Linked DNA regions of Sus scrofa. The protein of the gene in region 3 interacts with the protein of the main gene of each other region in a pairwise test. Links are inferred from orthologs where the notes say so. Each region holds a gene or a part of one and is shown on either strand. Other genes may lie near its edges. The genes, in order: PDLIM7, CARD9, PAK5, FHL3, FAM212A, TUBGCP4 and UXT.

The links.
Region 1: the proteins of PAK5 (region 3) and PDLIM7 interact in a two-hybrid assay, tested with the Homo sapiens proteins (2 studies listed by BioGRID and IntAct). The two-hybrid records come from large-scale screens. The link is inferred for Sus scrofa from reciprocal best matches to the Homo sapiens genes PAK5 and PDLIM7.
Region 2: the proteins of PAK5 (region 3) and CARD9 interact in binary tests that used the Homo sapiens proteins (3 or more experiments, as listed by UniProt). The two-hybrid records come from large-scale screens. The link is inferred for Sus scrofa from reciprocal best matches to the Homo sapiens genes PAK5 and CARD9.
Region 4: the proteins of PAK5 (region 3) and FHL3 interact in a two-hybrid assay, tested with the Homo sapiens proteins (2 studies listed by BioGRID and IntAct). The two-hybrid records come from large-scale screens. The link is inferred for Sus scrofa from reciprocal best matches to the Homo sapiens genes PAK5 and FHL3.
Region 5: the proteins of PAK5 (region 3) and FAM212A interact in binary tests that used the Homo sapiens proteins (3 or more experiments, as listed by UniProt). The two-hybrid records come from large-scale screens. The link is inferred for Sus scrofa from reciprocal best matches to the Homo sapiens genes PAK5 and INKA1.
Region 6: the proteins of PAK5 (region 3) and TUBGCP4 interact in a two-hybrid assay, tested with the Homo sapiens proteins (2 studies listed by BioGRID and IntAct). The two-hybrid records come from large-scale screens. The link is inferred for Sus scrofa from reciprocal best matches to the Homo sapiens genes PAK5 and TUBGCP4.
Region 7: the proteins of PAK5 (region 3) and UXT interact in binary tests that used the Homo sapiens proteins (3 or more experiments, as listed by UniProt). The two-hybrid records come from large-scale screens. The link is inferred for Sus scrofa from reciprocal best matches to the Homo sapiens genes PAK5 and UXT.

The regions. Positions count from the first base shown.
Region 1 is NC_010444.4:80,451,576-80,455,812, reverse strand, and holds the start of PDLIM7 (PDZ and LIM domain protein 7), read right to left. Parts: upstream 2,801-4,237; 5' UTR 2,695-2,800; intron 1,730-2,694; 5' UTR 1,720-1,729; coding exon 1,624-1,719; exon of another isoform or gene 1-1,623. UniProt on the Homo sapiens protein: May function as a scaffold on which the coordinated assembly of proteins can occur. May play a role as an adapter that, via its PDZ domain, localizes LIM-binding proteins to actin filaments of both skeletal muscle and nonmuscle tissues.
Region 2 is NW_018084833.1:1,342,072-1,346,232, reverse strand, and holds the start of CARD9 (caspase recruitment domain-containing protein 9), read right to left. Parts: upstream 2,801-4,161; 5' UTR 2,251-2,800; coding exon 1,907-2,250; intron 1,593-1,906; coding exon 1,393-1,592; intron 1,111-1,392; coding exon 973-1,110; intron 421-972; coding exon 116-420; intron 38-115; coding exon 1-37. UniProt on the Homo sapiens protein: Adapter protein that plays a key role in innate immune response against fungi by forming signaling complexes downstream of C-type lectin receptors.
Region 3 is NC_010459.5:18,502,870-18,506,369, forward strand, and holds part of PAK5 (serine/threonine-protein kinase PAK 5), read right to left. Parts: intron 2,565-3,500; coding exon 1,779-2,564; intron 1-1,778.
Region 4 is NC_010448.4:93,985,769-93,989,855, reverse strand, and holds the start of FHL3 (four and a half LIM domains protein 3), read left to right. Parts: upstream 1-1,287; 5' UTR 1,288-1,328; coding exon 1,329-1,340; intron 1,341-1,990; exon of another isoform or gene 1,991-2,144; intron 2,145-4,087. UniProt on the Homo sapiens protein: Recruited by SOX15 to FOXK1 promoters where it acts as a transcriptional coactivator of FOXK1.
Region 5 is NC_010455.5:32,328,402-32,332,667, reverse strand, and holds FAM212A (PAK4-inhibitor INKA1), read right to left. Parts: upstream 2,797-4,266; 5' UTR 2,143-2,796; coding exon 2,092-2,142; exon of another isoform or gene 2,030-2,091; intron 1,349-2,029; coding exon 542-1,348; 3' UTR 501-541; downstream 1-500. Other genes in the region: UBA7 (ubiquitin-like modifier-activating enzyme 7), read left to right, coding at 118-247; CDHR4 (cadherin-related family member 4), read left to right, coding at 3,530-3,578, 3,934-4,118, 4,243-4,266. UniProt on the Homo sapiens protein: Inhibitor of the serine/threonine-protein kinase PAK4. Acts by binding PAK4 in a substrate-like manner, inhibiting the protein kinase activity.
Region 6 is NC_010443.5:128,028,893-128,032,039, forward strand, and holds the end of TUBGCP4 (gamma-tubulin complex component 4), read right to left. Parts: exon of another isoform or gene 2,903-3,147; coding exon 2,786-2,902; exon of another isoform or gene 2,189-2,785; coding exon 2,049-2,188; exon of another isoform or gene 1,408-2,048; coding exon 1,395-1,407; coding exon of another isoform or gene 1,348-1,394; 3' UTR 501-1,347; downstream 1-500. UniProt on the Homo sapiens protein: Component of the gamma-tubulin ring complex (gTuRC) which mediates microtubule nucleation.
Region 7 is NC_010461.5:42,175,642-42,178,386, forward strand, and holds the end of UXT (protein UXT), read right to left. Parts: intron 874-2,745; coding exon 810-873; intron 597-809; coding exon 546-596; 3' UTR 501-545; downstream 1-500. UniProt on the Homo sapiens protein: Involved in gene transcription regulation. Acts in concert with the corepressor URI1 to regulate androgen receptor AR-mediated transcription. Together with URI1, associates with chromatin to the NKX3-1 promoter region.

The DNA.
Region 1 (4,237 bases), on a different chromosome or scaffold from region 3:
CCCTCCCTCCCCACTCCACGCTGGGGTCAGGGTAGAGGGAGAGAGGGCGGGCCCAGCTCAGAAAAGACCACCCTACACACCCGCCCACCCACCAGGGCCTAGGTCCAACTCCAGGGCTGGGCTCAGCTGGTGGCCCCACCCACATGCTAGGCCTGCTGACAAGGGAGCCTGGGCTCAGGGTGCCCCCAGCAGGCCACATCTGAAAGTCCATCCCCTAGGCTACTTTGTTGCCCATCCTCACCAAGGAAGAAACTGAGGCTCAGAGGCCAAGCCAAGGCCTACAGCTACCCAGTCACACTGGCTAGCACTTTCCCAGGGAAGGGGTATACAGGGGGAGGTTTCCAGGGCTGGAGAGACTCGAGAATTGTGTACAGGGTGGGTATATGTGGTAGGGAGATCACTGCCCTTAGCTACCCTTCCGGCAGCGCAGCTCCCAGGGTAGGATCCCTGAGAACAGTGACAGCCTAGCTGTTCTGGCCACCAAGCCCAATTCCGACAGACTCTGCTTTGGGGCCCCCTTGAGCTCAGCTGCGGCTGGACAACCCTCCGGCCCCCTCTAGGCTGTGCTTGCCCTGGGCTTCCTGCCAATAGCTGCCTGCCCACCAGGAGCCTGGGTGGGTCTCTCTGGATAAGCGGATATGGGAGCAGGAAGTCCCCACCTCCTCCTGAACCCACCCTCCACCCCCCACCACAGTGAGAGATACCAGCCCAAGGGCTGGACTCTCTCTCAGGGCAGGCAGCTTGTTTTACATGTCCCACGGCCGATCCCATGGCTAGAGCCACAGCCTGGGGGCGATGAGCTGAGGGGCCCACTGATGTGGTCAGGGGTCCAGGCCCAGACCAGCCTTTTTCAGCCCTGCAGACTCCAGCCACCAGTTGGCCATCCCTGCGTGGGGCTGCATTCTTGGGCTTATAAGGCAATCCCCCTGCCACAGGGAGGAGCCGGCCCCTAGCTCCACCCCCACCAGGACAGGATCTCAGAAGCTGAAGTCAGAGTCCTAGAGACCCATCCCAACCCCTGCTTGGGGTCAAAGCCCACTCCATCCTGAATGGGACCAGTGGATGGGATGGAAGGTCCTCACACAGGCCGGGGAGAGGCACCCCTCACACACACAGACTGCTGGCCATCCCTGTGGCTGAATTCCAATCCCTGTTTTGCCACGGAGTTGCTGAAGGAGCCCTTTCACCTCTCCGAGTCCTGAGTTAGCTCATCTGGAAAAACAGGATGACAGTTGCTATTCCCTGGGTGGCAGTGAGAATGAAGTGAGATCCTGCAGTCAGAGAGCCCTGCCTGGGGCCTAGCTCCAAGCATTGCTCTCTCAAGGAGCTTAGACACTTCCTGGAGACCTCAGAATGGGCATCCCCCTGGGCCTTGGAGGTGGCCACAGGAGCTTCGTGGAACAGCATCAGGTACAGTGCAGTGCTAGGGAAGTGTGGGGGCTCCTCTCCTAGTATCTCCCTAGTTAGGTTGGTAGTCTTCGTGGCAGTGCCCACATATCTGGACCTGGGCACCTCCTGGCCTACCGGCCGTGGCTCACTCCTGTTCAGGCTCTTTCTGTCACCCACTGGAGATCTGAGCACCCCAAGACCCCTGGGGGAGCCCCTCCCTCAATCTAGGCTCACCCGGGAGATGGAGAGGGGCACATTGAAGTCCTTGCCCCCCTGCAGCCGGAAGCCCCAAGGTGCTGGCCCCTCCAGCACCACCTTGAAGGAATCCATGGTGCCGCTCCTGAGAGGAGAGAAAAGGTGAGCAGCTGGCATGGTGGGTACACAGGCAGGCCTAGCTCTGGACATCAGGCTTGGACTAGTGCCAGGAAGGCACGAGCAGACGCTGAGCACACCCAGGGCAAGGGTAGGAGGGTAACTTGTTAAGTTTGGCTGGGCTGCTAGCTGGCAGACTTCACTTTGGAAAGGCAGCGGCAACCCCCCTTCCCCAAGGGACAGGGTGGGTGAGGGGAGCCCGAATCCAGCCTTGAGATTCTTTTCATCCAGGAGTGGATCGCAGGGCTAATTTGGCTCTGGCTTCCCCCCAAGCCATCCTTGAGCCTGGAACTAGACGGCAAGGCCAGTCCGGGGCCGGCGTTCCTCCTTTCCCCCGCCCCCAGGTCCCGGCAGGCAGGCCACGGCTGGAGCCTGCTCGGACTATATAAGGCGTGTAAGCTGACACTGTGCGGAGAGCCAACGGAGGGAACACACGGGGGCTCGGGACGCGAGGGGGAGGGGAAGGGGGGGAGGCGGCTGGAGCGGGTACTAGCCATTCCCGGACTAGTCGAAGCTGCCGTGACCCAGGGCGAGACCCCTGAGCGCTGGGGGAACTGGGCGGGTGCGCGGCCCCTGCGTAGGTCGGTGGGGACTGGGACTTCAAAGCGTGGCCAGGAAGGGAATTCATCCTAGAGTTCAGTGGGGGTGATGCCTCCCCCACAGGCCTACCCTCCTGACGTGACTCGGTTTCCCCCTGGTTCCCCGCCCCGGCCCCATGCATTGGCCGAGTCCCGGGGGCAGGAAGCGGCGCAGGCGCCAATCGGCCCCGCCGCAGCCGGCTTCGCCTCAGGAAGGCGGGGGCGGGGGTAGCGGCTCCCGCACGCCGGAGGAAGCGCAGCTTTGGCCACGACCCCTAGTGCCCGCTGTGGCCCCTAACAGGCCTCTGCCCCCCCGCCTGGCCCAGCCCGAAACGCCCCGCACAGTCGCCTGTACCTGCTCGGCCCCTCCGGGGCGCTGCTCAGCAGCGGGCTCCAGAGAGCCGCGCTGGGATCCGCCGCCCGCGTTCTGGCCCCGCCCCCGCCGCAGACATCAGTTATGAGCCCGCTGGAGGGGGCGTGGCCTGTGGCCACGCCTCCGTCAAAAGTTGAGCCCATGAGCAGTCTCCCAGGCAGTAGGAAGCCCCGCCGAATCCTTCCGTACCGCCCAATCACGAAGTCCGGTCTCTCTTTGCGCTGTAAGGCAAGGCTCTCCCTGGTCCCCTTAATGGGGCGGGGCCTGGGTAGGGTGTGGGGGGGTCTGGGCTGCTGGACAGCCCAACCCGCGGCTCGCCCAGCCCCTTGCGCCTCCCTCTGGCCGAGTGAAAAGCAAGTCACCAAGCAAACCAGGCAGATCTGGACCTGAGTCATCTCTAAACCCTAGTTTCCTACTGGGAAAGTGGGACAGTAATACTCGCCTCACAGGCCACCGTGAAGATAGGCATAGTTTGGCGTAAGGCACAGCCATTGATAGCTCAAGAATATCTAAATCGGGAGTTCCCGTCGTGGCGCAGTGGTTAACAAATTTGATCCCTGGCCTTGCTCAGCGGGTTAAGTATCCGGCGTTGCCGTGAGCTGTGGTGCAGGTCGCAGACGCGGCTTGGATCCCACGTTGCTGTGACTCTGACCAGTGGCTATGGCTCCGATTAGACCCCTAGCCCGGGAATCTCCATAATGCCGCTCCTGCGGCGAGCGGCTCTAGAAAAGGCAAAAAGACACACAAAGACACACACACAAAAGGAATATCTAAATCGGACAGACTTGGTCTGGAAGAGGGAGGGGGTGAACCTTGGAGGTGGGGTTAGTTGAGGTCGACACAGGGGGAGCTTACAGTTAAGTTTGCAGAACACTCCACCAAAGGCAGCAGACAGAGGTATAAAGGCCTTTGGCTCCGCCCCGACCCTATGCCCTGCCCTCACTCCTACCCCCTGACCCTCCGAAGGTTTAGGGCTGACCCCCAAACTGTCGAGATAGTCCTGGTACCCCACTCCAGAGTGGGCAGCGCCTCCAGTGGGGGTTTCACAGACCCCACAGCCCCAATGCTAGCGCAGTGGGAGGAAATTGACCAGGGATCAGGATGGGCATCCACCCCTCACCTCCTTCTAGGGCATGGCTGTGGCTACTCTCCTACCTCCACCATCATCATTACATTTCCCCCTATTCTGCATCATTCCCCTCATAATATAAACTGTAAGAATTTTCACTTTTTTTTTTTTTTTTTTTTTGGCCTTTTCTCATTATAGGGCTGCACCCAGGGGCATATGGAAGTTCCCAGGCTATAGCCGCCGGCCTATGCCACAGCCACAGCAAGGCCACAACAGGAATTCCAGTTACTTCCTAATTTAAACTTTCATTTTCCCCACCTCCCTAACTCCTTCCTTACTTCAAGGAAAAAAAATAAAAACAGTGTTCATCTGGTTAGGCCAGTAAAAATCATGAAGTTTTCCTTCCTTTCTCATCTGTGTCATACCTCAGATTCTGTAGATTCCACCTTCTGACTC
Region 2 (4,161 bases), on a different chromosome or scaffold from region 3:
CCTCGGCCTTCATGAGGCTGTGCTTGAGCCGATCGATCTGCGGGGCCGCCCGTCAGCCCAGCCCGGGGGCCCGCCGCCCGCCCGCCGCCCGCCCGGCCGCCCCGCCGCCAGGCACCTCCAGCTGCAGGTCTCGGTTGCGCATGAGCGCGGTGCCCCTCTCCTCGCTCTGACGGGCCAGGCGCAGGGCCAGGTCGTAGTTCTCGTCCTTGCAGCGCTGGAGCTCGCGGCCGCCGGCCTCGCAGGCCTCCTTGAGCCTCTGCGCGCGCTCCTGGTGCTTGCGCAGCAGGCCGTCCTTCACGCGCAGCTCCTTGATGAGGTCGTCCTTGGAGCCCAGCAGCGCCGTCAGGTCCTGCGCCTTCTTCTGCAGCTTCATCACCTCGCTCATCAGCAGCTGCGTCAGGCCGGACTCCCCAGACGCGTCTGCGGACCGGGCCTCATCAGACGGCGCGCCCAGCAGCCCAGCATCTCGCGCGGCTCCAGGACCGGCGGCCCGGGGAGCCCGGCCCAGGGGTCTGGTCCTGACTCACCTGCAGGCCCCGTCCCCAGCCCCTCCCAGGACGGTGCAGCCAGGGGCTCACGTGTCCCTCCCTCTTTGTCCACTTTGGTCATCTTGATTGAGAGGCGAGGGGACACGACTCAGGACCAGGAGAGCGGCACCTCTCCGGCTGCCGCGGCCTCTCGGGAGCAGGGTTTTAGTGGGGTCAGGTGGTCTTCTGGGCAGGGGGGCTCTGAGCCAAGAATCAGCCTGTGCCTCCCCTCCCCCTGCTCCCGCCCTGGAGTTCAGGTCCCCCTTCCCTCCGGCCCCTGCCCCCTCCCCGGGCTGCAGCAGGAGAGCGGGCGGGCGGGCCCCAGGCGGGCGGTATCCTTCCGCCAGAGCGCATGCACGCTTTATCCGTTAGGGGCCCAGGTCAGGGGGGCGCCCCGGCCCCTGAGTCCGGGCCCTGGGTCCCCAGGCCCGGTGCCCTTCCTCACCAATGATGACGGAGAAGACGCGGGTGGGCTCCTTGCCCGTGACCTTCTTGTAGAGCTGCGGGTAGTAGAGCTCCAGGCTCTCGAGGAAGGCCACGTAGCCCTTGTGGCCGGTGCGTTGCAGGATGTCCAGGAGCACGCCTGCAACCCAGATGGGCCTGGCTGGGGGCCGGGGCGGCCGGCGTCCCCAGGCACGCGTGTGGCCCCTCGAGGCCCCGCGGGGTGGCCGCAGAGTGGGTCTGGGCCAGTCCCCATCGGCCACCCACCTCGTGTGGCTCTCCCAGGGGCCTCTGCTGTGCATGGCGGCGCCCCGGCCGCAGGCAGACAGGTTGGTGATGGGGGGGGCGGGGCGGGGGCCGAGCCGGCCAGGCCTCCCGGGGACAGGGACGAGCGTGGGCAGAGCCCGCCGCCCACGGCACTGACCCACTTTCCGCTTGCGGATGACCAGGCTGGGGTCACTGAGCACCTGCTCCTCGTCGTCGGGGCTCAGGACCTTGCACTGGCGCAGGTAGGGCGTGATGCGGGCGGGGTCGATGACGGAGATGAGCTTCACGCGGAAGCCCTCCAGGCCGCTCCAGCACTCGTCCTCGTTCTCGTAGTCGGACATGGTGCGGGCGGGCGCACTGCTCCGAGAGAGGGCCCGTCAACTGGCCCGCCGCCCTGCCCTGCCCTGCCCCCGCCCTCTGGCCGCTCTGGGCTTCCTCTCCCCCGCCCCCGTCACCCTGGGCCCCTGCCCCACGCTACCCCCCCAGCCTGTGCCCAGGGAGAATCCCCCTCCCCGAGCATTGTGGGCGGGCAGGGAGGCTGCCTCCCTCCCTGGAGGTGAGGGGGCAGCAGGAGCTGTTTGGGCCGAGCGCTGGCACAACCTCCCCGGCAGATGAGGGAGGGGTCCCGGTCCACCCCCGGCCAGCCCGCGCCCGGCTGGGGCGCCCCCCACCTGCGGGCGGCAGGCCATGCCACGCGGGACTTCCTCATTCCCCCGCACATCCACTCCCATCCCTTCCTCTGCTTCCTGTGGCTGGTGATGCAACAGTTGCCCAGCTGGCCCGCTCCGGTCAGGCCCAGGGACGTGGTGCCCTCCAGGAAGCGTGACTGAGAGCAGCCCACCGGAGGGCCCTGGGCACATGGGGAGGGCCCAGCTGTGTCGCCCAGGCAGCCCAGGACGCGGCTGCGCGCCTCCTCCAGGCTCTGGGTGCTGGGCACTAGCTGGCCCCGGGCTCTCCCCATCTCCTCGGCCACAGTGCTGAGCACGGGGATGCTGGCTCCCTGACAGGGGACCATCTACGTGGAAGCTGCTCTCTGCTAGCCCTTCCAGCAGCGGGTGGGCAGGGACCACGCTCTGGGGCGGGCTGAGCAGGAGCAGCCATGTGGCCATGCCTCCTCCTGGGGGAGAGGGGTCGGGGGGCACAGAGACCCCGCCTCAACACCTGGGACTGAGCCTGTAACCTGCCTGGGAAACACCGGCTCCCGGGCCACGGGGGCTGGGGCACGGTCCCAGAGGCCGTGGTATCCCAGAGGCCGTGGCTGTGGGTCCCACCGCCCTCGGCCCGCCCGCCTAGCGACAGGCGCGGCGTCCAGAGGAATCACCAGCACCTTGGTGGCCGGTCTCTGGACCTGGCCTGTTGCGGCCTTTCTAGCCTCAAGTCCACAGCACCCACGCCTGACGATGACCTGCTGTGCATTCCACCGAAGCGACCGTGCCAGGTGGCTGCGAGGGGGACGGGGCAGCAGAGGTGAGGCCGTTTGGTGCCCTTCTGGGGTGTTCACGCCAGATCCCTCTCCCTGTCCCAAGAGTCCTGAGCCACCTGGGCTTGCCGCCGCCTTTCCGAAAGGGCACCAGACCAGCCTACCTTGGGGTCCTCCTGAGGCACCTGTGCAGTGGCCGGTCGCCGGCCAGCCTGGGCCGCCAAGCCGGTGTGTGAGCGGTGGGAGCTGCCGCGGCTGCCGGCCAGGGAGGGTGGGGCGGGAGGGAGCGCACTTCCTGGCGTTAACCCCGCAGGGACCATCCCTGCGGCCGCTGCTGATTCGCCCGAGCAGGGCGGCCTGGGGGGCGGGGGAGGGAAGTGGAAGTGGCTCCCCAGGAAGGCTGCCCAGAGCCCTGCCAGCCAGCGCAGGGCTGGCCGCGGGGCCCAGGGCCCGCCCTGGAGGCCCAGCCCTGACCCTGAGGAGTGGGGAGTGCGAGCCAAGGCTTGACAGAGCTCGAGCCCCTGCTGGCCCACTTTGGTCCCAGGAGGGGGCGGTGTGGTGTCCCAAAACAGGGCCCCGGGCACAGGCGCCCCGCAGCACACTGGCCTGCTGTGGCTGGCACGGCCCCGCCCCTCCTGGGACCACCCCTTCTCCACCAGGACACATGACAGTGACAGCAGCCCCCCACCCCAGCACTTCAGAAGGGCTGCAGAAGGCCGGGCAAAGCCTGGAGCCCAGCCCTGGCTGCCAGCTGCACCCTGGCCAGGTTGGGGAATCCCCAGGCCACCGCGCTGCCCGGGGAGCTTTGCCAGTTGAACCGAGCTGCCAGCTTCAGCTCCGCGAAGGGGCTGCGGCTGGACGGGCTGGATGGGAGCCTGGCCGGTGCTCCCGGCTCCCCCTTCCTGAGGAGCTTCCCTCCCGCCTGGCCAGCTCCCTTCCTGTGGGGTCTCACGCCTCAGGCCGTGTGGGGGCTTCTCTGCCTTCTGCCCAGGATGGTCAGCGGGCCACTTCGCAGAAACCTTGGGCGTCCCGGCACAGACCTGGCACTGCTGGGTTGCGTGGTGGCCTGGCCTTCCGGGGAGCTGACATCACCCTCTGGGCATGGGGAGCCCCCTGCGGGAGCCGCGAAAGCCAGGTGGGGACTTGGTGCAGGAGACTGAGCCACCGCCTCCTACATGCCCAGCAGGCAGGCTGGTACCGGGCCCTCAACGACCCAGTTCCCGTGGCTTAGAGCTCAGGCAGACGTCGTGTGCTCTGGGCGAGGCAGCAGCCACAGAGACGTCGGGACCCTCACTCAGCATTTGGAAATTGAACAAGAAAACTTAGCCCACAGGTCAGAGGAGGTCGCGAGAAAAACTGGACTCGGTTAACTGAGTCCCGGGTGCAAAGGGACCCCCCGCCCCTGCCAGGGGGCGTCAGCCTGCGGCCTGTGTGACGCGTCACACCTGGGTGCAGGGGGCCCCGGTGACTGCCGTATGCGGGAGCAGGGGCAGGACGCGCTGGGCA
Region 3 (3,500 bases):
TAGAAAAGTGGTTGACAGGGTCTGGGGTGAAAAGAAGGGAAGAAGTTGGTAAAAGGGTGCAAATTTTCAGCTATAAGATGAATAAAGTCTAATGATAGAATGTATAATGTAGTGACTACAGTTGATAACACCAGAGTGTATAACTGAAATGGGCTAAGAGAGTAGAACTTAAATGTTTTCATACACAAAGAAGGTAAGTATGGGAAGTGATGGATGTTTTTACTCAATGAAGGGAATCCTTTCACAATGCATAGGTAGATCAAATCATCATCTTGTATATTTTAAATATCTTACAATTCTGCCAATTATACCTCAGCAAAGCTGAAAAAAAAATCACATTCTTTATTCCTAAAGTAGCCCCTGATGTTCAAAGACCAGAAGATGCAACTAAATTTAGCTACAGAATGTGTTAATTTGCTTAGTTCTCTCTGCAACCATGAAGGGGTTCTCTCGGTGGAGTGATGTGCACAGGAAATCGAATAAATGATCTTATGCATCATGACACACATGCATATGGCTTCCTACAGCTTTTCTCTGCTTGTTAATTAGACCTCTTTCCAACCATTGCTCTGGAAAGTAAAGGCAAGACCATGGGAGTAACTAAGATAAATACCACGGTGAGATGGGAAACATTCTCAATATTTAAATTTTAACTGGAGGTATATATTTCAGGTCTTTACTTCCTCAAGAATTTATTTTTAATTTTATATATTGGGAGTTAGAGTGATAGCTTTTTTTTTCATTTTTCCATTGTATGGCATAAGTCACTCCCAGCATAGCCCTAGACGGCTTCAACATCTTGGATTGGGTTTCTGAGAAATAAGAAGCAAAGGAAAAAGGATGGCTATTGACATCAACCAACTAGATGAGTGCAGGCAGGCTTGCCTTCCAGGGTATGCTGTGAGGCCTACCAAGCTGTTGAAGAGACAGTATTTGGTGTAAACCTCCGTGATCATGCTACTGGAAGTCAAGTCTCTCTCAACTGGTCTGAGAGCTCTGTAACCTAGAGCCCATCTCCAAATGCCCCATTTTCACTTTACTGTCCAGGGGAGGTGGCAAAAACATCTCTAAGTTACTAAGGAAAACACTCCCCCAGCATACTCCCTAAGGTACTTTGCAAAGTCAGTAACTTCTCCAGCAGCGGTTCCTAAACTTTGGGACGTCATGGACCAACCACATTTCAAAACAAATGTGGAGCAGCTAACAACAACAACAAAAATTACCAAGAGAGGAATTACAATAAGACAAAACAACATTAAAAACTACATGGAAAATGGTCCGGTAACCAGATTCTATCTACCACCTCAAAGAGTCATAGAGAAAAATGACATTTCAATACGGAACAGTAGAAAGACATAAGCTCAAAATGAAGAACCATCCCTTGAGTAGAATGCAATTAACTTTGTTAAAAACTTACCACATTATCTTGCTTTCTTTTTCCTTGTCGGCAGAGCCACATAACCTTAAGCAGAGGCAGGAACCACCATGCTACTGCATATAATGATCTACAACTGAATGCTCCTTAACACAGGACTTAGTGCCATATGAGGATATATAATCATGAGTACATCAGAATATTTTTCAAATAATTTTTTTTTTTTTTTGCTTTTTAACCAGAAACCCTGTAGGAGCTCCTCCAAAGGCTTTGATTTTAATGAATACATGTGCCTTGCCTTAAAGTCTCTGCTCCTGGGGCTCATGGGTGGAAATCAGGTAGAATTTTATACGGATTCCCACTTAAAGGTAAACCCTGGAGGGAGGGAGGGGGTGAGCATTACCTTTGGGATGCACATAGTGGGCTCAGACAAGCGAGGGTAGGTGTAGGAACTGTAGGAGTGTCCTTGGGAGTGGGTTTTAAAAGCACTAGCTCCGAAGGGCATCGTGGGTTCCTGGAGCCCTGAGCCGGACCGTGACCTCTGCCGCATGGCGGGCTGAGGACTCGTCTGACTCAGGTATGATGACTTTGGCCTCCTGTCATAGTCCTCCAGGCTGGGTCCCCATTCACTTTCGCTGTACGCCAGGCTCTCCTTGGAGCACCCACTGGTCCCTGCAGTTCTGGAAGGCATGAACTGGAATGGATAATCCAGAGGGGAGCTGCTGGAGGCTCTCTGGTACCCCCACTTAAGGTCACTGTACTCAGTTGGTTTGCTCAGTGAGTCCAAGGGTGCGTGGTAGTCGATAGGAAATCTGGTTATCTCGGATTTCAAAGGCTTCATTTCAGAATAGTAGGCCTCCCCAGGTTTCATTTTCATGACGTGCCCATTTTGCTTGGCCGAGTGGCCGCCCTTATAAAACGGATCCAAATCGTCTCCATAGAGACTTTTGTCTCTGTACTTGTCGGTGGCATAGTCAGCGGTGGTGTCAGATTCGCTGGAATACTGTGAGAAGGTGATGAAGCCGTTTTCTTCCCGATGGCCTGGACCATGGCTGGAGGCTCCCTGGTCCGGGGTGGGCGGGCTTTCCTTCCTTAGGGAGTTGGAGCGAGTCACCGAGATGTTGTCGAAATCCTCTAGCAGCCCGTTGATGGAGGTCTCCTTGCAGGGTTTGTTTCCTCTGACAATTGTCTGGGAATAATAAGGGAACATGCTTTAAAGGGAACGTTTCATGCCTTCAATTTTTTTTTTTTTCTTTTTAGGGCCATGCCCACAGCATATGGAAGTTCCCAGGCTAGGGGTTGAATTGGAGCTGTAGCCACTGGCCTACACCACAGCCACAGCGACGTGGGATCTGAGCCTTGTCTGCTACCTATACCACAACTCACCTCAATGCTGGATCCTCAACCCACTGATAGAGGCCAGGGATCGAACCCACATCCTCATGGATATTAGTCGGGTTGTTACCACTAAGCCACAATAAGAACTCCCCACGCCTTCCTATTGACGGAGGAATCCCACCCCCACTCCATCCAATTTAAACGAGGAGCATTTCATTAAAAAAGAAAAAGAGAAAAATCTGTTGATTGATTTTAGTGGTGAAATAAATCAAATAAATAACAATCTCATATAGCAAATGTTTCCTTACCTGACTCAATAGAGAAATCAAACATTAAAAAGCTATTTAGAAAAGTATACATAGGATATCACTGTTTATTTACCAGTATGAGTTCCTCTACTTAATAATAAACCCTATCTAACAATAAGCTGATGATTACAAATTGTTTGGTTATGAAAGGTGTATTTATTATCTTTTGTCATTCATTATCCAGATTACTTGCAAAATCAGTAAACATTGTTACCTGAATAGTAAATACTTGGAGGTGCAACATTTCTGTTACCTTTTTCTGGAAGATACATAATAATTGAAGTTATCAGCATATATAGAAGAGGAAGAAACTTTCTGAGCTATAAATAGGGCACAGCGTGAAGATTACTTGTTTTATTTGTGATCAAATGTGATATCCTTATTGAGTGTGTAACTGTAATGCCTGCTATGACCACACTTCTGTGTCTCATCAGTATCATCATGGCTGAATTTTACATGGCTTGGTAATGATGTGGTTG
Region 4 (4,087 bases), on a different chromosome or scaffold from region 3:
AAGTACTTAGAGTCTGGTGCAAAGTAAAAACTCAGGGAATATTGGCTCTTTGTGAGTAAAACCAGAGACCAGCCCCTCCAACTCTGCCTTTGGTCCAGCACCTTCCTTATTCAGTCATAACCCCTTCCTTTCTGAAGGCTGTTGACCTTTGCCCTCCCCTCAGCCCAGAGCAAACCCCTTCTTTTTTATTTTTTTGCTTTTTAAGGCCGCATTCACAACATATGGAAGTTCCCAGGCTGGGAGTCAAATCAAAGCTACAGCTGCCAGCCTACACAGCCACCACAGCCACTGCAACAAGGGATCCCCGACTCACTGAGGGAGGCCAGGAATCAAACCCACATCCTCATGGATACTAGTCGGATTTGTTTCCACTGTGCCACAACTGGGAACTCCCAGTAAACCCTTTCTTGCCCTCATCCAACCAGGCAGTCTTCCCTGCACTCCCCAGGGCTGGGAGTCTCCTACACCTGCAAGATAAGTTCCAGAGCAAGGGTCAACACAGGCACTGGCTGCTTCCTCCCCGGACTCCAGAAGCATATGCCTGCAGTCCAATCCGGGCACCTAAGGGTCCAATGACATGGAAGCAGTGTTTGTCACTCATTCATTCATCAGATATTTATTAAGTGCCAGAATCAGAAGGACCTGGTCCCTGCCCTCATGGCCCTTACAGTTTAGGCATGAGGAACAATGATAATTAACAAGCAGTTAGTTAATTTTGAAAGGAAACCTGGCCTCCAGGGTGTCTTGGGGCCCTCAGGCAGGCATGGGATTCAGAGGTTGGAGAGGAGGGTACTCAGGAGCCCCAGCCTGGGAAGGAATGAGTCTCTGCCCAGGGAGCTTGTTTGGACCCAGCCTGGGGGATGGGAGAGCCTCTCTGGGCACCTGAACCTCTACTCTAGACCCTGAGGTTATTTCCAGGGTTGGTTTGTTGTCTCTTGTTTTGCAAACAGCCCAGCAGAGCCTCCTCCTCCCTCCCCAACCCTTCCAGACCATGGCTATTTATTCCTAGTGACAAGCCTGAGGATCCCAGGGGGGTTGGCCTCAAGGACCTGGAGGGGCCTTGTGTCCCTGGCAGGCGCCAGTCCTCCCTCCCCGCAGGGCAGGACCCAGGGAGGAAGCCAGAAGGTTAGAAACTGCAGAGGTCGGGGAGAAGAACTTCTCTCCACCACCCCTGCAGCGCCCTGTCCATGCACACTCCTCACACTCCTTCCTGAGAAGCTCAAAAACCACGGGGGGGGGGGGGAAGGATTAGGGTATCCCCTGGGCCTCAAAGGTCAAAACTATTCCTGGACACAGTGAAAACCAAGGGAGGATTTCTCTGTTCCACCATGCAGCAGGAGGTGAGGAGGTGGTTACTCGTTTTCACGCTCAGGGTGGGAGAATAAAGCCCTTTGAAGGTCAAGGCCCTCTGGAGGGGGTCCTTGCTTCACTCCTGGTTTCCGCGGAACACCTAGGTTCCCACTTACAGAGCTGTGACAGCAGGGCCAAGCCCCCAGCCCCACCCCCAGGCTGGAATGAGTCCTCTAGTACACCTTCGGGCAGTGTGATCCCTGGGGGTAAACTGGGAGGGGGCGAGGACACGAAGAGGGCATGAGGTCCCCAAATGGACCTTGGTCGGCTGCCTCCTGTATCCTTTGCCCGAGATTGAACACAGCTAACCGCTGGGGGTGGGGGGGGGCCGGGAGAGGGGGCGAGCAAGGAGGGAGGACAGCAAAAGCTGCAGGGAGGGGACAGGGGCGGGGTCCTGGCCGCTCGGGAAGGTTGCGAGAGCCAGGTTAGGCCTGGAAGGCCGAGGGGGCTGGGGCTGGCTCCGATCTAAAAGGGAGGTGGGGGCGGGGTCTGCCCCCCTCCCCAGCCCCTAGCCACGGGGACCTGGGGCCGGGGGCGGGGTCCGCACCCCGCGGGCAGGGGCGGCCGGGGGCGGGGTCCGGGCGGGGCGGGCCCCAGCGCTCACTTCCTCGAGGAGGGGTTGGGGCCGCGCTCCCACTCGCCCACACAGTCCGTGTGCAGCCGGCAGCCTAGCCGGTAGCTCGCTCGGCCCCGCTCGGCCTGGCCCGCAGGTAGGAGCCGCCGAGGGACGCGGCCCCGGCTGCCCGGCCCTCCCTGCTCGAGCGCCGCGCCTCGCTCCCGCCGCCCGCTTCGAGGTGAGCTCCGCGCCGAGCCCCGCTCCCCATCCCGGCTCCCGGCCCTCGCCCTCGGGCGGGAAGGTAGAGGCGACCCACCGGGGGTTCAGAGCAGCCATGGCCCCCGCCTCTTGCCCTTTGCCTCCGCCGGGGTCCGGCCGCGGGCGCCAGGGACGCTCTGGGAGCCGGTGGCGCGGGGGCGCCGAGCCCTGAGGGGCGCCACGGGGACCGCACCGCCCCGGGCCTCCTGGCGGGGCGGGCGCTGCTACGCGAGTTGGGCGGGGGAAGGGGGCCAAGTTTGAAATGGAAAACCAGCGTCGAGAGCTACCGGGAGGGTTCGAGAAACCGGCTTCCAAAAAGCCTGGTGGAGCCAGAAACCGAGACAGCATAAGGAGTGACAAGCTTGGAGAGGAGGCTGCAGAGATTCCCGAAACAGGGACAGAGACTTGGGCGTAGAGTCACCGGGAGGCAGACCCGAGGCGTAGGGACCCCTCCGAGGTTTTGTGGAGCGGAGCATTTTAAGGAAAAGCATGTAATGACCCCAGAGGTGTTGTCGGCCTTTCCCAGAGCCTTGGAAGGTTCTGGGCAAGTGAGGGGCTCCAAAGCTTAAGCTTCATTAGCCTCGTGGTAAAGCAGCCTTGGAGAGGCCTAGAAAGATCCAGAGTCTAGAGTCGGAGACACTCAGGCATAGAGATGCTAAGAGATAGAGAAGGACGGTGGGGGAGGACCAAGACATTCCACCTTTTAGAGACATTGAGATGCCAAGGCTTGGGTGGACGGAGGGAGAAATCCACCGAGGCTGTCGTTGGGAGATGGCCAGTAGAGATACAGAGACATGGAAACATAAAGACAGCTGCCAAAGTGTGCAGACACAGACGTGCTGAGTGGAGCAGAGCTAGACATCAAGAGACAGATGTCATGGAGGCACAGTGACAGCTTCCAAGACAGACCCACGGGACTCAGGCCCAAAAGACTGGGAAGTGAGGATGTGGGGAGACAGAAACTCTAGACCAGTCAATCCCCCATGAGGATCTGAGACAGTAAGACACAGCAAGAAGGAGCCCCATGCAGTCCCCCAATCAGCTCCAACTTATTTTTAAACTCAAATCTTGGGCGCACTGCTTCAGTCCAGGGGGACCCGGGGTGAATGAACTGTTCCTTTCTGTCCCCAGAGCAGCTGCTGGATCCTGCTTCCCACCCCGCCTTCCCCCAAACCGCTCTGACTCCCAGCCCTCATGGGGGGAGGGGAGAGAGCCCGGAGAGTTTGGGGTTGATGCCTAGTTGGGGGGGGAGGGAAGAGTTTGGTTTCTCCCCTCAAGTCTCTTGTGAGCTCCTGTAAGCTGGGGGAGGGTCTGTGCTGATTCTGAGTCACAGCTGTGGGACCTGGCCAGGGTCCTCCTAGACATTGTGGGGGGGAAGGGCAAAGGGGGTTGAGCGGTTGGCATGGGTACTTGGAAAGGCTTCTGGGTGTCTTCCAGTCACAGGGCTGGCAACTGGGGAGAAGAGCCAGGCTCCTGTCCCAGTGATATCACCTAGCATCTCCTGTCCCCCTGCTCTTAAATGCTGACCACCCCCTCAGCCACTGCAACATTTCTAGGGAAAGAGAAACGGACTTCAGGCTGAGAGGCAGGGGACCTAGGATCTCATACCAGAGTGACTTTGGGCATGTCTCTGCCCTGTCCCTGGCCGCCGTGCTCAGCTGTAAAACGGGGATGATGTCCTATCCCGCCTGCCGTTTGGGAGATCTGATTGGTGGTGGGTGGGCGGCATTGCACTTTGTGAGAAGCCAAACAGCACGCTAGTGTCTACTCTTCTGTACCTGTGTTGGAGATTTCAGAGTTACGCTCACTGGTGTCAGACCTGCCCCCACTGGTCTTAGTGAGCACCACGCCTGGGTCTCTTTAACGGAGAACTAAGGCTTTCCCTCCTTGTTCTCTCCCTGAGCCCACCACTGAGAATGTCAA
Region 5 (4,266 bases), on a different chromosome or scaffold from region 3:
CTGGCCTGGGATCCTTATAGCCCATCAGCACCCTCTAGTCCATGCCAGGACATTCTCTGCCTGCCACTGCTCACATATTCCATCTCTCTCCCACCCCTCTCCTCCTCCTGCCACCAGGGTGACAGATCTGGTGCAGCAGGTAACAGGACGAGCACCTGAGCCTGGGCAGCGGGTGCTTGTACTGGAGCTCAGCTTTGAGGGTGAAGAGGAGGACACTGCCTTCCCACCCTTGCACTATGAGCTGTGAAAAGGCAGCAGCCCCACTATCCAGCTCTGTCAAGCCCTGCGTCCCAAGCCCACAGTAGGTGCTCAATAAATGCTTGTTGAAGGAAGGTGTAAGTGGACAGGATGGATGATGGAACACAGAGCAGGCACATGGGGGTGGGACACAGGCATGACATGGACCCCTGCTGGGAGGGAAAAGACTCTAGATTTGCTTGAATTGTGCCTTGTGGGTCTGAGGCTGCCTCCTGGAACCTCAGGGGTATGGAACCAGGACGTCCAGAGAAAGGCCTTTATTGTCCCAGGCTGGAGGGCAGGGTCAGAGGTAGCTGACAACATCATTGCAGATGATAGGCTGGCGACTGCGGCAACTCATAAGGGCTGCAAAGCGCGAGACATCTGTAGGCAGTTCGGGTTCTGGGCGAGGTGGGCATGAGAGTCGCTTTCCTGCCAGCGCTGCCCGGCGTGCCCTGGCCAGCTGGCGCCTCAGCTGTTCTGAGAGACCAAGTAGGAACTGGGGGGGGCGAGCACGGGCTCGTGGCCCACCCCCATCATCCCCCTCACCTGAGGCCTCTGGCAGCTCCATCCAGTTGTGCACCAAGTCAGCAAAGCAATTGTCCCCTAGCACCAGGGGCTGGCGACTGCGACCTCGGCTCAGCAGGGCTGCTGTCCAGTCCTCAGCTTCCAGCCCTTGCCAGTGCTCCAGGCAGGCATCTGGGGTGGACTTGGGCCGTGGTCGGTGGGCAGGTGGTGCACTGGTCACAGGAGCCCCACTGGGCAGGGGAATGCTACTGGCTGAGAGGTGCTGTCTATGAGGGGGCCATACTGGGGGTGCTGGGTGCTGGAGTATGGGCAGCTCTTCCTCTCTCCATGTGCTGCCTGACACCTCTGAGAATCCAGAGTCCCAGTCCAGGGCATGCTCCCTGGGGCCTCCCAAGGCTGCACCCCTGTCTCCTGTCACCATAGCGTCTTCCTCCTCTTCCTCCACACCACAGACTGAGTCCTCTTCCAAGGCATCTGAATCTGAGACCCTGAGCCGGTGCTTGGGCCGCACGCCTGGATCGGGTTTGGGGGGTGGTGGAAGGGGGCCAGGCATGGGGGATGAGCCTGTGTCCCGGCCACACAGCTGTGGAGGAAGAGAGGGCAGAAGTCGGAGGGGCAGTGCTTCTCATGCCTGCCTGCCTGGCCAGTTCTATGCCAAAACAGAAGGCCTAGGAGAGCTGGATAGGCCTGCAGGCCTAGGCAGCAAGGCCCCTAGTGGGCACAAGGCCGGCATGGGGTGCTGGCACATGAAGCTCATGTGGCTTCCATTGGCGGACCCGGTGGCAGTCTGGCAGGCTGCAGCACGCTGAGCTGGGCAAGTTGGTACCCGCCATCGGGGCGGGAGGCAGTGTTGTGGGCCTACATCGGGAAGTAGGACTGCTCAGGGCTGGGGGGGGCACTCCATGCCTCTTTAGGGATTTGGCTCCCCAAAGCCCGCAACGTCTTTCAGAGGATAGACCACGTGCCAGGTGGGGTGCAGAGGACAGAGGTACAGGCCAGCCTGGATTAAGCTTTCACAGCAGCACCGGCACCACTTTAGTCCCTCGCAGCCCTCCCCCCCCATCCGCCCCAAATAAGTTTCTCCCTCCACCCCCGCCCCCAACTTCCTCTGCCGCGCACAGCACAGCCAGCTGGGTGGTTGTTACTTGATGCCCAGCGCAGCTCTCAACCATCTGAAACCCGACGTGGGCCATCTGCGCCGCCCCGCCCCCATTCTGCCTTGGATGGGCACTCGGGACAGCCCCCCACCCATGTGTCGTTCCAGCCGGACTGCAGCCGAGCACCCCACAAGCGTCTTAGCGAGCCACACCCGCTCCCAAGCCTCACCAGTTCCCAGCGGAGCTGGCCAAGAAAGCTGTCAAGCCGAGTGCTGTGCATGCCCGTGCCGGAGCCCCCGCCAGGCCTGCCAGTTGCTCTTCGAACTCCAGCAGGAGCGGTGCGGTGAGGGCCGGGAAGGCCGGCCAGCGGAGCCCTTGCCCTCCGCCAGGCTCAGCGGCTCCTCCCTCTCCGTAGCTCCCGCCGCAGCAGCAGCCACCGCCCCAACATCTGGCAGCCCCGCCCCGCCCCTTGGCGCCGCAGCCAATGGGGCTGGGACGGGGCTGATGTGGCCCCGCCCCCTGGGTCCAGCTGGGTGGGAAACCCGACGCCCACTACCCACTCCGCAACAGCCCTGGGGGGGAGGGGCTGAACAGGGGCCGAGAGCTGGGCAGTGTCCTGCTTCCGAGTCCTCGAAGTCCTGGGCGGTTGAGCTGACTCCGAATTCGTTGCAAGACTCAGGACAAGCCGCTTCCCTGAGGTAGCCTCAGCTTCTCCATTTTTCCCGGGTTAGAATTGCGGTCCCTCCCACAGGGGCCCCTGCAGCGCGCGGGTTCCGTGGCTGCGCCCTCACGCGGCTAGAGCGCCCCCAGTAGTCGCATCCGACAGTGCTGTGGCCCACTTGGGGCCTGACCCACTCAATCTGTTCATGGGGCTGGCTTCGACAGTCCTTAGAAGTCAGGAAGGGGTTCGGCCCTTTGGATGACTCCGGGAGCGCGGAACCTCACCGCCCCCACGGAGTAGCAGCCGGAGCCCAGGCCCAGCCCCCGCGTCTGTACGAAGCTAGGCGGGGCTGCCCTCTAGTGGGCAGCGCGCGGTTATCTGCTCTTCCTGCCGCGACACTCACGTTCCCTCTGCTTGGCACCACATACACACTGAGAGTAAGGGCAGGAGGCCACTTTTTGCCCCCTCCAGTTGATGTCCCCCAAAGTAACCACTATTTTTGCTTCTATTGCCAAGGATACCTTTTGTTTGTTGAATGTAGACAGCTTTTGAGAGATTTTGTTGATGGTTGGGCTCAGATTTTATAGGCAGGTGATATTCTAATGGGGGGGGAAGCTAGAGTTCAGACGCTATGGGGTAGCAGGTCCTGGGCCCAGTTTTCCTGGGTCCTGTGCTTACTCTGTCTCCAAGAACTGTGTGACCAAGACTTCCTTGAGCCTCAGTTTCCCCATCTGAAACTTGATTCTTCTCTCACGTCTGTTTCAAAATTGTAGTAATAAATTGGGGAATTCATTGGGAGCAGTGAAAAAAATGGGTATTTCCAGACCTCTTGATGCCTGTAGAGTCTAGAACTCAGTCACCAGGGATGGGTGGGGCTAGAATCTTGGAGGCCCAGGAGTACCGCCTGCTCAGCTGTGTTTGAGCAACTGACCTGGCAACGGGGCAGGCCTGAAAAACACGTCTGTCTTTCTGGAGTCTCCTCTGCTGTCTGTATCTTCAGGCCGCTATGGTGCTGCTCAGGTCCCTGGTGCTTCTTCTTGCTCTGGTTGTCTCTGGTGAGGAGCTGGTGGGTAGGGGGACTTTAGTTCTCACCTCCCTCACTCCACAGTGGAGTCCTGACCCCTTTCAGATAAGCTCCCATGGAGGGCAGGGGCTGGGGGAAGGAAGCCAGGAAAGGACAAAGATCTGAACCTCTGGCCCTCATTCCTTATCTTTGCTTCTTCTTCAACCAAGTTCTCACTCCTAGTCTGTGAAATGATCTGACTTGTGGTTAGATGTGAGAGACAAGGAAAGACTTCTGCTTGTCCCCAAGATGTGGCTAGGCCCTAAGGCAGAAGGGAAGGACTCTGCTTGTGTATATGGTTGCTTGAACATGGAGAGCCTCCAGCCTGAATTGTCTCTTCCTCACAGATCATCACTGCCTGCCCTGGTTCATAAATGTCTCTGAGAGCCAGGGACCTGGCACCATCCTTCACTCTTTCTCCTTCAACTGCTCTTTACACACACCCACCCTGGAGTTGCTCCATGTGAAGCCACCCACCACCTTCTTCAACCCACCCAGCCTCACCAGGTGGCAGGGGATCTATGTGGGCAAGGTAGGGTCACGGGCACAGCTGGGGACATTGGGGAAATAAAGGTGGACACTAAATTCATTAAGCCAGCGGTAGTATAGGGGAATGGAGAACCTAGGTCCCATATGGCACTGCCCACCTGCTGCAGATGACCTTGAGCAGCATGGCCCGG
Region 6 (3,147 bases), on a different chromosome or scaffold from region 3:
GGCTGTCTAAAATTCAGTACTTCCAAAAACATGATTTTATAATGGGCCCAGATTAATAGTTGTGCCAAAAGTTGAGTGGAATTAGGCACAGCTCTTAGTTTTCTGGCAATTAGAAAGAGAAATCTCTCTTTAGAATTGAGCTAACAGCTGACCTGTGGATACTGTGCTCTCAGAGCTAAAAGGGAAAAGGACCAATTGTTGTGCATGGGTGGTGAGTGTAAACTTCTGCTAGGATCAATGTGAGAAACAGTAAAAACCCATCGAAATGTTAGCAGCTGTAGCCAGAAGGTCAAAATTTTATTCCTGTCACTGCTGCTGGAAGCTGTTCCTTCCATACTCCTAGCATCATTCGTGTTGCTATCCTCTCATGCTCTAAAGCGGGGCTTAAAATTTTTTTTTTCTACCAAACAGTAAATGCGTTAGACTTTGTGGGCCACTTGGTGTGTCATGACTACTCACCTTTGCCATGATGGCACGAGAGCAACTACAGACCACAGGTAAGCAAGGAAGTGTGGGCTGTGTCCCAGTAAAACTTTATTTACAAAGACAGGGGGTTGGTCGTAGTTTGCCAACCTCTGCTCCAGAGGCAGCAGTGAGAGGGTCATCGTTAGCTGACAGTTAGTTACAGGTAATGAAGGGGTACAGTGTGTGGTAGAAAATGGAGAGATCAGGGCCAAATTAGATGGATAATTAGACCTTCATCTTTAGGTATTTGAAATCTAACAATTTTTTTTCTTAAAGAGTTTTTTTTTAAGCTTTAAATACCTCATTGTAGCTAGAATTACCCCCTTACCAGTCTGAAATAATTGGAAGTTACTGGTAAAACTATTCAGACACAGTTTTGAAGATCCTTTGGGATAGGAAACTCACTTTCAATTTCTGAAGGAGGAAAAGGGGCTCTGTGGGGTGTGTAGAAGACTGTCTTACCTGGTGCCTTTCTTGCCGAGTGGTCACATCCAGCATTTGACCTATTTTTGAATATAATTCCTTTTTCACATGAGCCATTTAACTTTCTGATTATATAACTTACTGCCGTGTCTCTCGAAGCTTGAACAGTACCTAAGCACACAAGCAGGTGCTCAGTAAACGAATCCAATGAATGTTCTCAGTGTATCAAATCTTGTGTGGTCAGCAGAAGGAGAGCTGATGCCACAAGTCCTCCTTGGTGGTGAGTTAAGAATGGCTCTGAGGTGGGGCCCATGCCCCTTCTACCTGGGAACAAGGGGAAGCATTTGTATCCATGGATGTTCAAAAACTGCTTCTAGGAGAAAAGGTAGAGCTGTTGCGGGAGGCTGCAGATGTATGGGCCTGGCCAGAGGACGGGATGTTTTGAATCCTCAGTTACAGCTATAGCACGGTGAGACTGACTGACTTCTGTCTGTGGACCAAAATTCTCACATCCCGAAACTACAAAAGAAAAAAGGCCACTTGATAATATGCTTCCCTAAGATTTTCTTCAGAGAAATAATGAGCCAGGGCAACAACTTGTGATCTAGATAATGTCATCTTAAAACTGTTTGCTAAATTTACTTAGGAGAAATCTGCTCAACATATCAGAGAGAGAAAGGAGAATAATATTAAGTGCTTTTGAGTGAGACAGACCTCAGAGAAGCCACTACCACTGAATCTCGCCGTTAGATTAAAAAAACAGTTGAGAGTTAGAAAGGGTATCCTTTCAGTGCAAAAGCTGGGGATCAGTGAGGCAAGAGTCAGGGCAGGGAGGCCCCCAAGGCTGGGCAGCTGGTTTGTGTCAGAACTGGGATTCAAGCCATGCTGCCTTCCAGCACAGCAATGCACTACCTAGCCAAGAACTTAAAATCCATCTCGGCCTTAGGAGTGTTAGTAATTTACTATGATGATGATTTTTACTGGACAGTCATCTTCACTGATGATCAAACACAGCCCCTCTTCTCTCTGAGCCTTACTTTCCTTGTTTATAAAACGAGGGTATTTCGACTAAATGATGGCTGAAGTTCCAGCTCTGGAATTCCACCGCTCATTAAAAAAGCCACACAGAGTCTACTAAGCCCCAAGGTGCTTGTTCCTACCTGCCCAGAGTGCCACCAGCCTGGGTGTAGTATTTGTTATAATCTAGCCGTAAGAGTAGCTGGGCCAAATCAGAGTTGATCTGATGATTCCGAACACTGGAGAGAATCTTGAATAGGAGTGAAGACTGGCGGCTAAAACCCTGCAGAGAGAAGGACTCAAGCTGTCATTCCTCCTACACGCACCAGCTGTCCAGGTGGAGTGAGGGGGCAGGGGGTATTCCTTGGAAAAATCTTGCTGAAAATTCTGCAGCACCAACTGGCCTTCCCACATCCCATTTCTTTTAGCTCCTAAAATGACTTCTTTGTGCATAGACTGCATGACTTGCTGTGAAAATACTCTCATTCTCAGTAGGAATTTAGCAGCCAGCTTCAGATTGATAGATGCTGCTGTGTACTGGGCTGGGGGAGAGCCTGTGCTTTTGTTACAGGCAGAGAATTATCGCAGTGAAACAGGTTAGTTCAAGGAAGTAAGGCGGTTGGATGTTAAAAAGTAAGAACAAAGCCAGTGCATGTTTGGTGGGCTGAATAAACTGTTCAGGACTGAACAATATTTGATCGCTGAGGCAGCACATAATTATCTGCTTCAAAAACTGATACCAACATTTTTTAAAAATCTTTGTATCTTGTTATTTCTGTGTGTCTGTATTGGGGAAATGCTTAAATTGACTCAGAGGAATAGATCATGATGCCCCATCAGCAAAACCACCTCCATCCTTCCAAGGACCAGGCCCACTCACCTTCACCAGGATGCTCAGCTGGGCAGCCCCACGTTCATCCAGGGGGCCCAGGTTCTGACTGACCAGTGAGCAAAAGCTGTGACAGAGGTCTAAGATTTCATTCAGGCAGTGAAACACCTATACAGGAAACAGGTGACATTAGGAGGAAAAAGGAATAGATAGACCTGTGAAATTATAGATTTGGGAAAATAAGAGCTACCCTCTTCCCCTCCTCTACATCTGACCTCCGCAAAAAAAAGTGCAAGTTCTGCCGGCCCCTCAAAATGCAACGTGTGTAAAACTTCCCTTTTGGGCAAAGACACTGCCGTCCTCTTGGTCAGCCTGCACGAAACCTCCGCTTGAGGCACATTAAACTAGTCCTT
Region 7 (2,745 bases), on a different chromosome or scaffold from region 3:
CCTAGAATGAGGACCGGACCAGGGAGGGCGGGCGAGATCGGCCCTGCGCCCATTGCTGGAGCTGTAACTATTTAGAAGCTGGGACAAGGCCAAGGTTGGGCCTAGACGGGCGTGGGTGTAATTTAAGTTACCTGAGGAACGATTGGAGTGTGGGAGAAGGGTAAACTTTAGGGCCAGGAGTGAAAGGTTGATTGCCTTAGGGAACAAACCGCCACCCTGAATCGGCCCGTTCTCTATGGTTAATTCAAGCAGTAGTGCACAGGAAAGGAAATAGAAAGAAGGGTCAGGTGGGGGCCCAGGTTGCCAAGGCGATGGTAGAGAGGGCAGAGCGGAAAGTCAGGTGGCACATTCTGCCAGGAAACAGGCTGGAGGCGGCACTTCAGTGGTGCTTTAAAGATTCTACACAGACTGGATCTCTGCGCCTCCCAGTAACATTGTGCTTTAGAAACGGCACTTTAGCCAACAGCAGAAGTTAATGGGGGAAAGAAGGGCCACGTGACTCAAAGACATTCAGGCTCTTTAATGTCAAGGGAGGTAGGAAGAAGTCAGTGGCGAGGCTCGGGGAAATTCTGCAGACCTTGTAGTTCTCTAAGCCCCTGAAAAAGAGAACAGAAGAGATTGAACGGAGACTGGGTCCAGGCCCCACCTCAGGCTTGCTTGGAACTCCCTTCCCTCAGAGCCAGCCTGGTTCCTGTCTGACTCATTTGGAGGGAAAGATGGCCCTTCCCATCTCTGGCTCTCTCCCTTCCTCAGGACACCACCCTAAATATTTGGAGATAGAGTCTGGGAGTGGGGTGAGCTGCTCTCACCTCTAGCAACATGTGGATATGGGCCTTGATATTCATGGAGTCCTTGGTGAGGCTGTCGCTGAGCCTGGAGAAAAGAAACGAGAAAGGGCGAGGTGGGCCCCACTTAGGATCCGTGAGGATGATGTGCCCTCACCGCTTCAAGAACCGCCTAAGTCCTGGATGACTTCCACACGGCAGGTGGTGGGACCCCTACTACCTGGCCTGCTCCTAGGCAGACATGCCTGGCCGCCATCTGCACTACACTGATTCCAAGACCTTTACTGAATGCCTACTCTATGCCAGGTTGTTTTAGGTACTGGGGAGATAGCAGCAGACATAGCAAACGAAAATCTCGGCCTCTTGGAGCTCAGATTCTCATTAAGGGGGACAGATGATGGAGTAAAATATGGAGTATGTCAGATGGTTAAAATTATAATGAAAAAAAAATTAAATGAGAGAGGATATGGGAGTACAGGAGTGGGGGCTGGAATTCGAATTAGGGTGCTTAGGGATGGCCTCACTGAGAAGCGTTTGAGTAGAGACTTAAAACAAAGAAGCGAGTCATGTGGACATATGGAGGATGTGTGTTCCAGGCACAAGGGGTGGAGAGTGCAAAGGCTCTGAGGTGGGCGCGTACCTGGCATGTCTGAGGCCCAGCGAAGAGGCCAGTGTGGCTGGAGAAGAAAAAGTGAAGTGGGGAGGTAGAGGAGGCGAGGTCACGGAGGTAAGTGGGGGAGATAGTTCGTGTAAAATCTACCAGGCCATGGTGAGGACTCTGGCTTTGACTCTAAGTGGGATGGGAGCAAGGGGAGTATTGTGATCAGAGAAGGGAGGTCAAATGACTAGGGTTTCAGAGGATCCATCTGGCTGCTGTGTGGAGAACCGACTGGGGATAAGGACAGCTGGTGTGGAAGAGGAAGGCCACTGCAGAGGCTGTCGGAATCGTCCAGGTGAGAGATGCAGACTCGGACCGCAGTGGCAGCGGTTGAGGGGATGAGAAATGATTGGAGCTGGGATACTTCTTTGAAGGTAGAGTCAATAGGATTTACCAAAGGAGGATGTTGGATGCAAGAGAGAGAGGACTCAAGGAAGACACCAAGGCTTAAAGCAACTGGAAAGCGGGACCACTCTGGCTCTGGGCTGTTGAGCTACGCCAACCAGCCCATTCCTACCTCCTGACATCTAAGCCAACTGCGACCAGGCTCACCCAAAAGAAGCCTAAGTGATGCAAAGGATAAAAGAAGGCCTTTCTGAAGAATGAGTAAGAGTTAAACAGGACAGTCTTTCACAAGAAGTCCGAGAGGCCGGAAAGAGCTTCTAGAGGAGCAATCAGGAGGCCAGTGTTAGAAAGTAAGTGAATGGTGGAAGGAAAGTGGCACAAGATCCAAGAGGTAGGCAAGGGCTAGATCATGCACGGTCTTGATATCCTGATAAGGAAGGTGGATTCTATTGTGCCGAGTTATCCTGTCAACGTAAGAGTCAGTTTTGGGGAAACTAAATACTGTTAAGAAAAGTAGAAGGCAACGACATAGGATGTTAAATTGGAAAAAAAAAAAAGAGTGTAAACTCATTTATGTATCACTATCTCCCCCCAGTTTTTCTATTTTGGCTCCCCCGCAGCATATGGAGTTCTGGGTTAGGCATCAGATCCAAGCCACAGCTGCTATCTATGCTGCAGCTGCAGCAACACTGGATCCTTTAACCCGCTGTGCCGGGCTGGGTATCGAACCTGCAGCCTGGTGCTGCAGAGATGTGGCCGATCCTGCTGCACCACAGCAGGAACTCCACTATCTCCCAAATTTGTATTTTCTTCTTTGGCTGGGGTGGGGGCATGCAGAGGTTCCCCGGCCAGGGATAGAACCTGTGCCACAGTGGCAACCCGAGCCACAGTGGTGACAACACCAGGTCCTTAAATACCAGGCCGCCAGGGAACTCCCCAAATTTATATTTTCAGTCC